Linked DNA regions of Drosophila melanogaster. The protein of the gene in region 2 purifies or fractionates together with the protein of the main gene of each other region. This does not show direct contact. Each region holds a gene or a part of one and is shown on either strand. Other genes may lie near its edges. The genes, in order: cDIP and dpr12.

Region 1 (4,615 bases), on a different chromosome or scaffold from region 2:
TCGAAACTGTTTGTTTATCTTAGCAATTAGTTAGCCATAAATGTGCGAGTAAGCGAATAGAAGGGATAAAGCATAAATAATTAAAACTGTTCGCATTAGCAGATGGCAATAAAATAACTCGGTTTCTGGTCCATTCGATCGAATTCAATATTGTTGTTTAGTTTCCGAAAATATTGGTTTTGTAATTGACTTGACTTTGTTCAATTCAACTCAAGTTCCCCGAGCCCCACCATCTTGTCTTCGCCCTCCAGTTTTCTTCTCGTTTTTCCATTTTGGTTCGCCAGCCCGAGTTGAACGAACCTCTTTCAATATCTTTCAGAAAAAGAACCCAACTTTGCTTTGCTCGAAAATCAATATTATTGTTTAAATATTATTCTACGTATACGACACAGCGAGCAATAAATATTTACTAGATGTGCTCATGTTGCAAATTGTATTGGTTTTTTGGGGTTGAGTATGCAAAATCAGCAGGGAAATGGAGCAGAAATTGTTTTCGAGATTAGGAATTGAATAGGCGTAGAAAAAAATGATATTCTAGGAAACTAAATCTTAAACAAAGACGAAAAGCCTTCCTGTTTTGTTAGATTATGGTTCCAACTTTGTATATTATCAAGAACTGGTAAAAAAAACATACACGCGAATTCTTTAGTGGAATTCTTCCAACAATTTAAAAAATGATTTATTTATTGGATCGAAAGATTTTATGTTTAAAATTAAGAAGCTTTAGGAAATACTTCAAATATTAATTATAATGTATACATATAATTGTAAAGCTTTGAAAATGTAGTGATCACATAAAAAATGGGCCATATTTAACAACTTCAAACGGACAAGGTCACTTGACTCCAAACAGTTTTGTTGAGCACTTCAAAGGCCTGAATTTGTTCATTCAATTGGGCCAGTTTACTGAATATCAAATCGAACTTGGAATCAAAGTGCTGCACCACTGCTTTCAGTTCATCGCGCAGTTTGTCCACCTCGCTGGGATCAGAACTACTTGTTATGGGCGAGGACTCTACGCTGGCGGAGATTTCCGAAGAGGAGGAGGAGTCCACACCCTCTTTTTCGGGCAAGCGATACATGCAGGCTATTCCGTGAAAGTATTCCCCCGGAAAATCGGGATCGTAGTTATCCACGGTATAGGCAATGCCATTGGCACGAATGAGCACATCCATTATGTTTCTCAGGCTGAAGCAGTTCCAGTTATTTCCATGAATATAGAAGTGCGTTAGTTGCGTGAGCGTGGGGAACGCGGATGGATCGATTTCCGTCAAATTATTGCCGGATATGTCAAGTTTCTGCAAATTTTGCATACCCTGCAACGCCTCCAGCGGCAGTTCCATCTGGCCCGTATTCCGCAGCACCAGCATCTCCAGATGTGGCGTCCGCCAACCGTCGGGCAACTGACCCAGGTTCGGATTGTCCGCCACATCCAGGTGCCGGAGTCTGGGCACGCGGCTCAACGACGCCAGCTGAACCAGCGAGTTGTTGCGCAGCACCAAATGCTCCAGTGCCTCGGAGGCGGGAAAGTACAGCTCGCGCACGCGATTGTCGCTCAGATCGACATTCGTCACCGATCCGTACAAATTGACACGGTCCAGCGAGCAATTGCGAGCGGTCAAATTGGTGGCGTTAATGTTCAGCAGTAGAACGACCAGCTCGGGGTTATTCGATAGATCCACATACTGCATCTGATGGTGTCGTCCGCGGGATCGAAAGGCATACTCGCCCACCTCTCGCAGTCGATTGTTCTGCATTGCGACCGACAAAAGGTCCGGATTGTGGGCAAATAAATCGCTCTCAATGGTGGTCAGTTGATTACCGGCCAGTCCCACGTGCCGCAGACTCTTCAGTCCGGCAAATACGTCCGCGGCTAAAGCCTCCAGGCGATTCTCTGTGAGATCCAGGTACTGTAATTTCAGGAGATTATCAAACGCACCCGCCTGCAGTTTGCCTAGTTTGTTGCGATTCAGGAAGATAAACTCCAAGTTTCCTGCTCCCCTGAAGGTTTTCGTGGGCAGCACTTCGATGTGATTATCGCTGAGCAGAAGAATCACCAGCTTATCCGCACCAATGGAGAAGTTCTCCCAGTAAATGAAGCGGATGCCACAGCCGCGCATGTCCAGCTCACTGACCTCTAGTGTGTAAAATAAGCGCAGGGGAAAATTGGTGAAGGTGCAGTTCTCGAAGATCAGGGTTCGCGAGTGCTCCTCATCGCCCACTTCGTAGGTGGTGCCATCCTCGGCAATCCGCACCTCCGTTGGCAGATCAAAGGTGGCCTTCTCGTCCTCTCCCGCAAACTCAAAGCCCCTGCAGCTGGTCACCTTGCCCTCCGTCTGGCAATGACCTTCCAAGCTGGAGACCAGCACTATTCGGGATGAGCCACTATCCACATCAGCATCCGCGTCCTCATCCGTAGTAGCTGTGGCCGCCAATGAGATCAGCAAATAGCTGCAGAGGAACGGCAGACAATTCCGGACGTACATTTGGCGTGCTCCACGATTCACGTTCGACCTGAAACTGATTCCAAACGTTGACCGCCAAACGCCTGGCCAGATAAGCTCCTCTATAATGCTCAAATAACGATCATCAGTTCTATATAATTGCCATCCCATTCTATTCATGGTGTTCTGATTTTGCGAAAATAAATATGGTTCATCTGTGGCGGGTACAGCGCATTTCGAAAATGTAAGGCAGGGTTTTTTTCTTTTTTTTGAAATCGGATTGAAATACTATTTCTATTTCGAAGAATTGAGATGCTTTGGAAATCACTGCTGACTAATTAATAGATTTAATTACAATTATTTGTCTGGGAACTCCTTTTAAAAGAAATTAACATCTTTTGCTGTACGAGAGAGATGAAAATCGGTTTGTTTTTTTTTGTACCTATCATTATTTTGACACTTGTCTGTGCTGCTTTTCCGTTTATTATTCATGATTTTTTGCTGCTCTATGGAAGTTCTCGCTCTGTTGGCTCCATTCAAAACTCACAGACTTTGAAAAAAAAAACAAAACTTTGTACAATATCTGTGGAGCAATTCCCACTCATTTCCAGTGTGTTCTCTTATCATGAAGTGTTTACTTAGCGATTTGCTGAACAAAAGGTGGAAATCTCTTTTGGCTGCTGATAGTGGACATGAGGCCAGACATTCGCCCATTTTTATGTAAGAGTATTTTCATTGGGGCCCATCCATCTTTGGCTTTTACCATCGAAAATATAGGCGCGTGGAAACGTTGCTTAAAATACCTTCTATATAATTTACACAACAGCCATTTAGCATTTTGTTGGCACTGCCTTGCGTTGTGTAGTTTTGCTGATGATTGCCCGAATGACTCATTATTTATCAGGCGAACAATTCAGTGGAGGGCATTTGAGTTTCGGTTTGATAAGAGCAAACGAACTTCCGTTAACTACTTTGTCGTCTGCATTTATTCCTAGTCTTATTTTTAAAGCAATCAGGCAAGAATGTAGGCACCTTTACACGAAAAACATTCGTAAATATAGCGAAACCAGAACTTTCGCCTGCGAAGCGGTGACATGTCCAGTGGAAAAATGTGTAAAATATTTAGCCAATTATTTAGCCAACATGCCAGCGGTTTTGAGAACACGTTCAACCTGCTTTCTCAGTCGTTCAATTTGCCAGTTGCAGCTTAGCGGGCGAAAACAAAAAGATTATGACAGGTAGAGCCTTATTAATTTGTATGCAAACAAATTTATACGCTTGTTGAAATGTTAAAAATTAATTTTCCATTCGTTTGCGTTGGGATTTTCTCGGCTTTGGCCGCCTGGGCAAACAAACAATTTGAATATCGATGGCTAATTTTTTTCACTTTATGTATTCACAATTGATCTGCCTGTTTGCATTGGGCTTATTATGAGCCAATGGCTTTTAAATTACTCGACTCAAGACGACTTTTGTTCTTTGCATGGCATTTGCCATAGCTGTATCTGTATCTATTGTAGCTGTGTATTGTATCTCAATTGAAACGGCATGACTTCGTTTAGCGTCTTTTTTTCACTTTTTCGCCTGTGCCCCCTTTGTTGAATTCAATTTGCCGCAATTACTTTGCATACAAGTTTCGAGAAATAAAAAAAAAAAAACAAAGAGTGAAAATTACCAGGCTTTTATTCTGTCGAGACTTTGTCCCCGCCGTCTGTACTTTATTCAAATCAAATTCGCCCAATAGTTTAGCAGTGTAAACAAATGCGATATAGAAATATATTAAATCAGAACATATAGCGCACCATTTTACGCCTCTATTGTGGGTGCTTTTATATGGCGCCGTCGGTTTATGGCACTTGATTTATTTCATTGGGTTTATTGGTCATTCGAACGCTAAATGCTCAGGATATCCAAAGGTTGTTCCACCCATCTGACTGCAATGATGACGCAACTAGATGGTGATATAACTGGAAAATGAGCTAATTGCCATTCAAATTGGCAAGTTTATGTCCAAGTGCTTTTGTAAATTTGTTCTAAGGCGGAAATGCTTTCAATAACTATGGCTTTATAAATAATATCCAATTTTTTGCTACGAAACAAGTTAGTTTATATCAGTGTAGACTGATTTTATGAACATATTTATAGCTTAATTAGATGCAGCAAATGCGGGG
Region 2 (5,252 bases):
ATTGGCTGCTCGACATCTTGCAGCCCATTGTTTATGTTTGCATTGGGAATAAATCCAATTCTCCGGCATAAAACCCTTCACGGCCCTTTAACAATTAAGACACTATTTGATTGACTTTATTTTCCCAAAGCCTGGTCCATTTTTATCCCCTAATAGCATCCACTCACTTCTCTCTCCTTTGGCAGGCTTTTGCGCTTGGAGCCCGATGGACTTTGCCAAAATCTCGGATTGCAAGTTGCAATCAAACGGAAAGCACTAAAAGATGCCAGCCGATATATATCTGCAAAGGGTTGCACAATGCGGGTTGAACACAATGGCAGAAAGATAAGCCGGTCAGCTCGGACCAAGAGTCACAAAAATAAATTAAAATTAAAAGTTGGCAGTGCCCGGATTGTACAGCTTCATCCCGGACAGAATGGCAATCGAACGGCCAGCGGCGTCTTAAATTATACTTAACCGTTCGTTTGGAATAGAATTTATACAATTAAGTACGTTGAATACTGGTAGTTATGCCTGGTAGGGAGGTAGCTTTGCATTTGAATATCGGGTGAAATGCCCCGGAGGACGCGTCCTAAGATGATGTCATCGTGCAATAAACGGACTCCTAGGAATGACAAGATTTAAAAAACAGAATAAAAACAAAGACTCTCGCCGGAGACACAATGAAGTGAAATGAAGCAGGAACGTTGAGAAGGCACCAGCAGGCTGCCAGCCAGTCTACGCACTGATCCAGCGACTCGTTCAGGCATTTGGCCAAAAAGCGGGCCTCATAACTAAATGGGAAACTTACATGCCCTCCAACGGCGCTTGTTCCCATTTATGTTTTTGCTGTGGCAGCAGCATCAGCTCCGGCTTCTTTGGCCGACTGGCTTGTAATCCGTTATTTAAATATTGGTTGTTTTTTATTTGACTTTTCTCTTATGGCTGTGAATATTTTGCATAGATTGCTATGGGAAGAGTTGAGCAAAAACCTTGCCGAACTACATATATACGACACACACTGGCAGGCACACAGGCACACACGTGCACACAGCACAGCAGAAAATCAAATCAAATCAAATCGCCTTTTAGTAGAGTTGCAATTTAAATACATTCGAGTATTTGCGGTTCCATGACCAAAAAAGTCGGCCGGCCTCGGGGCGGATGATAAACACACATTACGCAAGTCTTCCACGCTCATTAGCCAGCACACGAGGTGTCGAACTACAAGTCATAAAACTGGGCCGCCCCATTGGTTCCGGCTTCACCGGCAGGGCAGGGCGATAGCAACGGGGCGTGCCCCACTTGCCCACAGCTGTCCGGCTACGGACATGCCTGTGAGTCCCCGAGGTGATAAAATGCTCCTGCTTCGTTCGACCCACTTGTCCGGTGACAGTCCAGCATTGACATAGGACTTCCGCGCGCACACATCCTGTCGTCCCGATGACCTTTCTCTACATGCTCGTGTGTACGTGCATTCACGCTTTTAAATATGAAACGCGCATTAATTTTGACATTGGAGCGGAAATACATTTAATTGCTTTCTGCGTGGCCGCTCCTCTGACGTCTCGGCTAACGCAGACTTAATCGCCCAGCCAACCCCACGAAAACAAGACCCCGTGCCTTATCGCTGGGGGCTCCGTCACATACACAAAAACAAGCTTCGCCATTAGCGCCCGTATCCAAGGACTTTGTTAGCAAATATTTAGCTTGCGCTTTCATTTTGTTATTTCACAAGAAAGCCGTCGGATTCCCGATCTCCCATTTGCATGAGCCACTGCGTGTATGAATAAGCTTCGGCAGTTTTTCCAACTCCAGTCCGGCTATATCGTAGTCCCATCGACCTTAGGGGGTTGATAATATAGTTGTGAAGGACTTTGTTCAGTAAACTAAGTAGTTTTAATCTATCTATCAATTTATCTTCGATGTTGCAAGTGCTTTTGATGTTTTGACAGCTTCTTTCTGTGTTCCCAAACAAGACTAAATTAGTTATGTTCTGGACCATACATAAGCTTTATGTATCCCTTTCTAAGTGAACTCTCTGACTATAAAACTGAAAGCAAACCGCATTGATATAGTCATCTAAAATAATCACTGAAAAATACTCTCTACTATGAATTAAGCAGAATCCTAGATGTGGCCACTTTGCAAGCCTCCTCTTGCGGACTTTGTGCAGCCGAATCCTAATTTCATTTAAACTTTTCTTGGTTGATAACCAACGCAGTTAGGCATTTACCTCCCTTAATGAGTTAGAGGTGTTGTGTTTTGCAAGACACGTTCGTGTCGTATGTTTGACAGCAGTCAAGTTAGTTCTTGCCACAGGCTATAAACCAAAGCCCAAACTTACAAGTCCCACGTAAATAAGCTAACTCGTGTCTGGAGTAAGTCAGAAGGAAGCGGCGGAAGATGACAAGTCCCAAGCCTCCCGTCAACCACATGTCATACTCACAAGCGAGAAACGGCCAACTAGCTGTGAATCACTTACCAAGTACGGCTGATCCCGGAACCGATGCTTCAGAGGATTCCAATTGCTGGTGGATCTCGTTTTCTTATGTCTAGCTGTGGGGCACTCGCGAGCTTCGATTGGTGCTTATTGATCATGCACTGCTCGCACTAAGCCATTAGGCGTCCGCAGAGCCCGCACTCCGGCACAACGCGAATTCAATGCGATTTGGGTCAAAGTGGTGGCAAAACGACAATGCAGCCGCACATTTCACAGTTGTCACTACCGATGCCTGTTCTCGATTTCCCGGATTCTCAATACCTCTGGCGCTCAGGCGTTTCGGTTTCGGTTTACGTTTCCGCTTTTACTTTTTGCCACCGTTGGCTGCAACGTGCCCTCGCACTCGCAGTAGTTCGCAGGAACAGTTGACTTAACGCGGAGTCACTGGCGAATTTTACGCCCGCCACGCACCAGTTTCCGCGAGCACAAAGGAGTTCGCAGGGATAATACGTCGCTCGCGCGGCGAAACATCCAACTTGAACTTGTTAGTCGCGCTGCACCCTTTAATTGGGACAACTTTGGTAATTTTAAACGCACTTTTGCCGCCGGAAGCCCCCAACTTCAAATCCAACCTCAGCCTCAGTCCGGCACTCAGTACGGCCTTGTTGTTGCTGTGTTGAATGGTATGTCAATGCTCGATGTGTTGTTGTTGCTAATGGGGTAACGAGCGATGCCGTCGCTTCCGCAGCATGCACAGCTTTCGACGAGCAAACGAAGTGAACTGACAGGACTACCAGGACTCCTACGCATTCGGAAACCGCTCGCCACTGGAAGGGAGCGTCTGCGCCTGCGCCTGGCTCAGCTGAGCGAAAGCTGAGCGGAAGCTTCTTCAAGCTTTTAGGTCAGCGACACGAATCAGCGCATGGCCTTCGGTCCCCGACTTGGCCCGATGAGTCCATACGCTACACCTGAATTCCATGGCTTCCAGGGCTCTGGTAACCTAAGAGAGTCCTTTCCGCGCTCGCTCTCGCGCTCTCTCTTAGGGGTCTTCGCGGAGACTCTGAATTCCTTGGTCCCAAGATGACCAAATTGTGTCACATTTGCGAACGGAACTCACTTTGCCAATGTCACGTGCCGGAGCGTTTGGCTGCTGAAGGACCCCAACAGCCGGACCTCTTTTGGCACCCACACTTCGCAAGTAAACTGGCGAATCAGTGTCCCGCAAATTGATATCCTAATGCAACTGGCAGTCAGATGGCACGCACGCCCGACGGACGGATGACCGCCGCAAGCGGAGCCGCAACTTGCAACTAAACTTTTGCGGTGACCAAAACCGAACGTGGAGCAAATCCCCCGGCCAACTGACAACTACAACGACAGCTATCGGTGGCCACCAGGATGCAGGACAAGTGCAAGAGTGTGTTCCCACATGCCGCTTGTCGTATTCCATTAGTGTGCCGACCAACCTTAATGATTTCTTACTTACAGCCCGCCATTTCCACGCTGGAGTGGCTGTGTGCGGGCGAGAGCGCCAGCTCACGCACACTCACTCTTGCAGGGGCATAATCGCATTCGTATTGGTTTTCAAGTGCTGTGGCATCCACGAGTCGGCCAATGCGTTTCGAGTTGGGTCGCCGTCTTAATCTGCCAGAGGATGCGTGTGTGTCTGTGAGTCTGTGTGCCTGCATCAGCGGTCGGGTAAAAGTTCAGGAAATTGCTTTTGCATGAGCTCCTCCTTGGCGCGCGGCGGACTTGAGGGCGGAATGGCGGAGGAGCGGAAGAGCGCCGGTTGGCCGGACGCGCGTCCTGGACGCACAAAGGAAGCTGTGGCGATTGAAAACGTTTTGGGAATGGAGTGCGATCGCAAATTGTATAAGCTGCATCGATTGGCGGTCGTTCGAGTCCTAGTACCCTTAATTAGGCAGCGGAGTCGCCCTGCACGTGTCTGCGCGCTGCCGTACGCCTTTCGGGCTTAAAATGTACCGAATTGAATTATTGCCACCACTCACTAAAATAACTGCACTGCACTCACACAACCGACAACAGCCGACATCTGGCTCTGGGTTTGTGGTTGATTCGCATGTTCGCCGGCCGTTCAGTCAATGATCAATATGCTTGGTTCATTCAGTATGACTCCGCTCACCTTTGGTCGCACCTTTCCCCGCCAGCCTACTGTGCTGCTTCTGTCGACACCTGGAACGTAATGTTTATTATCAACGATTGCACTTTTTCCTTTCAGTTTCAGCTCGTATGAAATATAAGCCTGCTTTTTGGCGACCAAAGGAGCAAGTGACAACAAGAAGTGCCTTTGTCGAGGGCCGCGACTCAGCCAATAAATAAATAAATAATAAATATTCAAATATTTACATCTTATAAATATTTTTTTATTTACTTATTTATTGCTAAATGCTTAGTGCAAATTAAAAGCTAACAATATGAATGAGCAATAGCAGCTGAGTGTATGTATGATTTGAAGTTTAACATTTTGTATTATATATTGTCGTATATAAATTAAATTTTATTTTTTATATATTTTTTTTGTTTGCTAAGGATTGATTTTGTAATTTTAATACAATTTTGGCATTGCCATGGGTGGGGATTGTAAATGCTAAAATGGGGCATAAGTTCTGAAAGGCTTGGGTAAGCGACAGTCGGAAGCAAGTTACGTGTGGGACACCTAAGCGTGCAGTTTTGAACAATGGACACACGTTACCTTTTGATTGGTCTAGATAATGGACGTTTGCAAAGTTGGTGTGAACTAATTGTTATAAAGATTTGCTCGTCAAGGGAGAACTTTTGAGGGGGTTGTTGGGGGTAGAGGGGATAAATA

Evidence for each region.
Region 1: the proteins of dpr12 (region 2) and cDIP purify together in Drosophila melanogaster (affinity purification with western blotting; 2 studies listed by BioGRID). This does not show direct contact.

The regions. Positions count from the first base shown.
Region 1 is NT_033777.3:21,158,569-21,163,183, forward strand, and holds cDIP (common Dpr-interacting protein), read right to left. Parts: upstream 2,525-4,615; 5' UTR 2,487-2,524; coding exon 822-2,486; 3' UTR 670-821; downstream 1-669.
Region 2 is NT_033778.4:5,802,667-5,807,918, reverse strand, and holds the start of dpr12 (defective proboscis extension response 12), read right to left. Parts: upstream 3,208-5,252; 5' UTR 2,465-3,207; intron 1-2,464.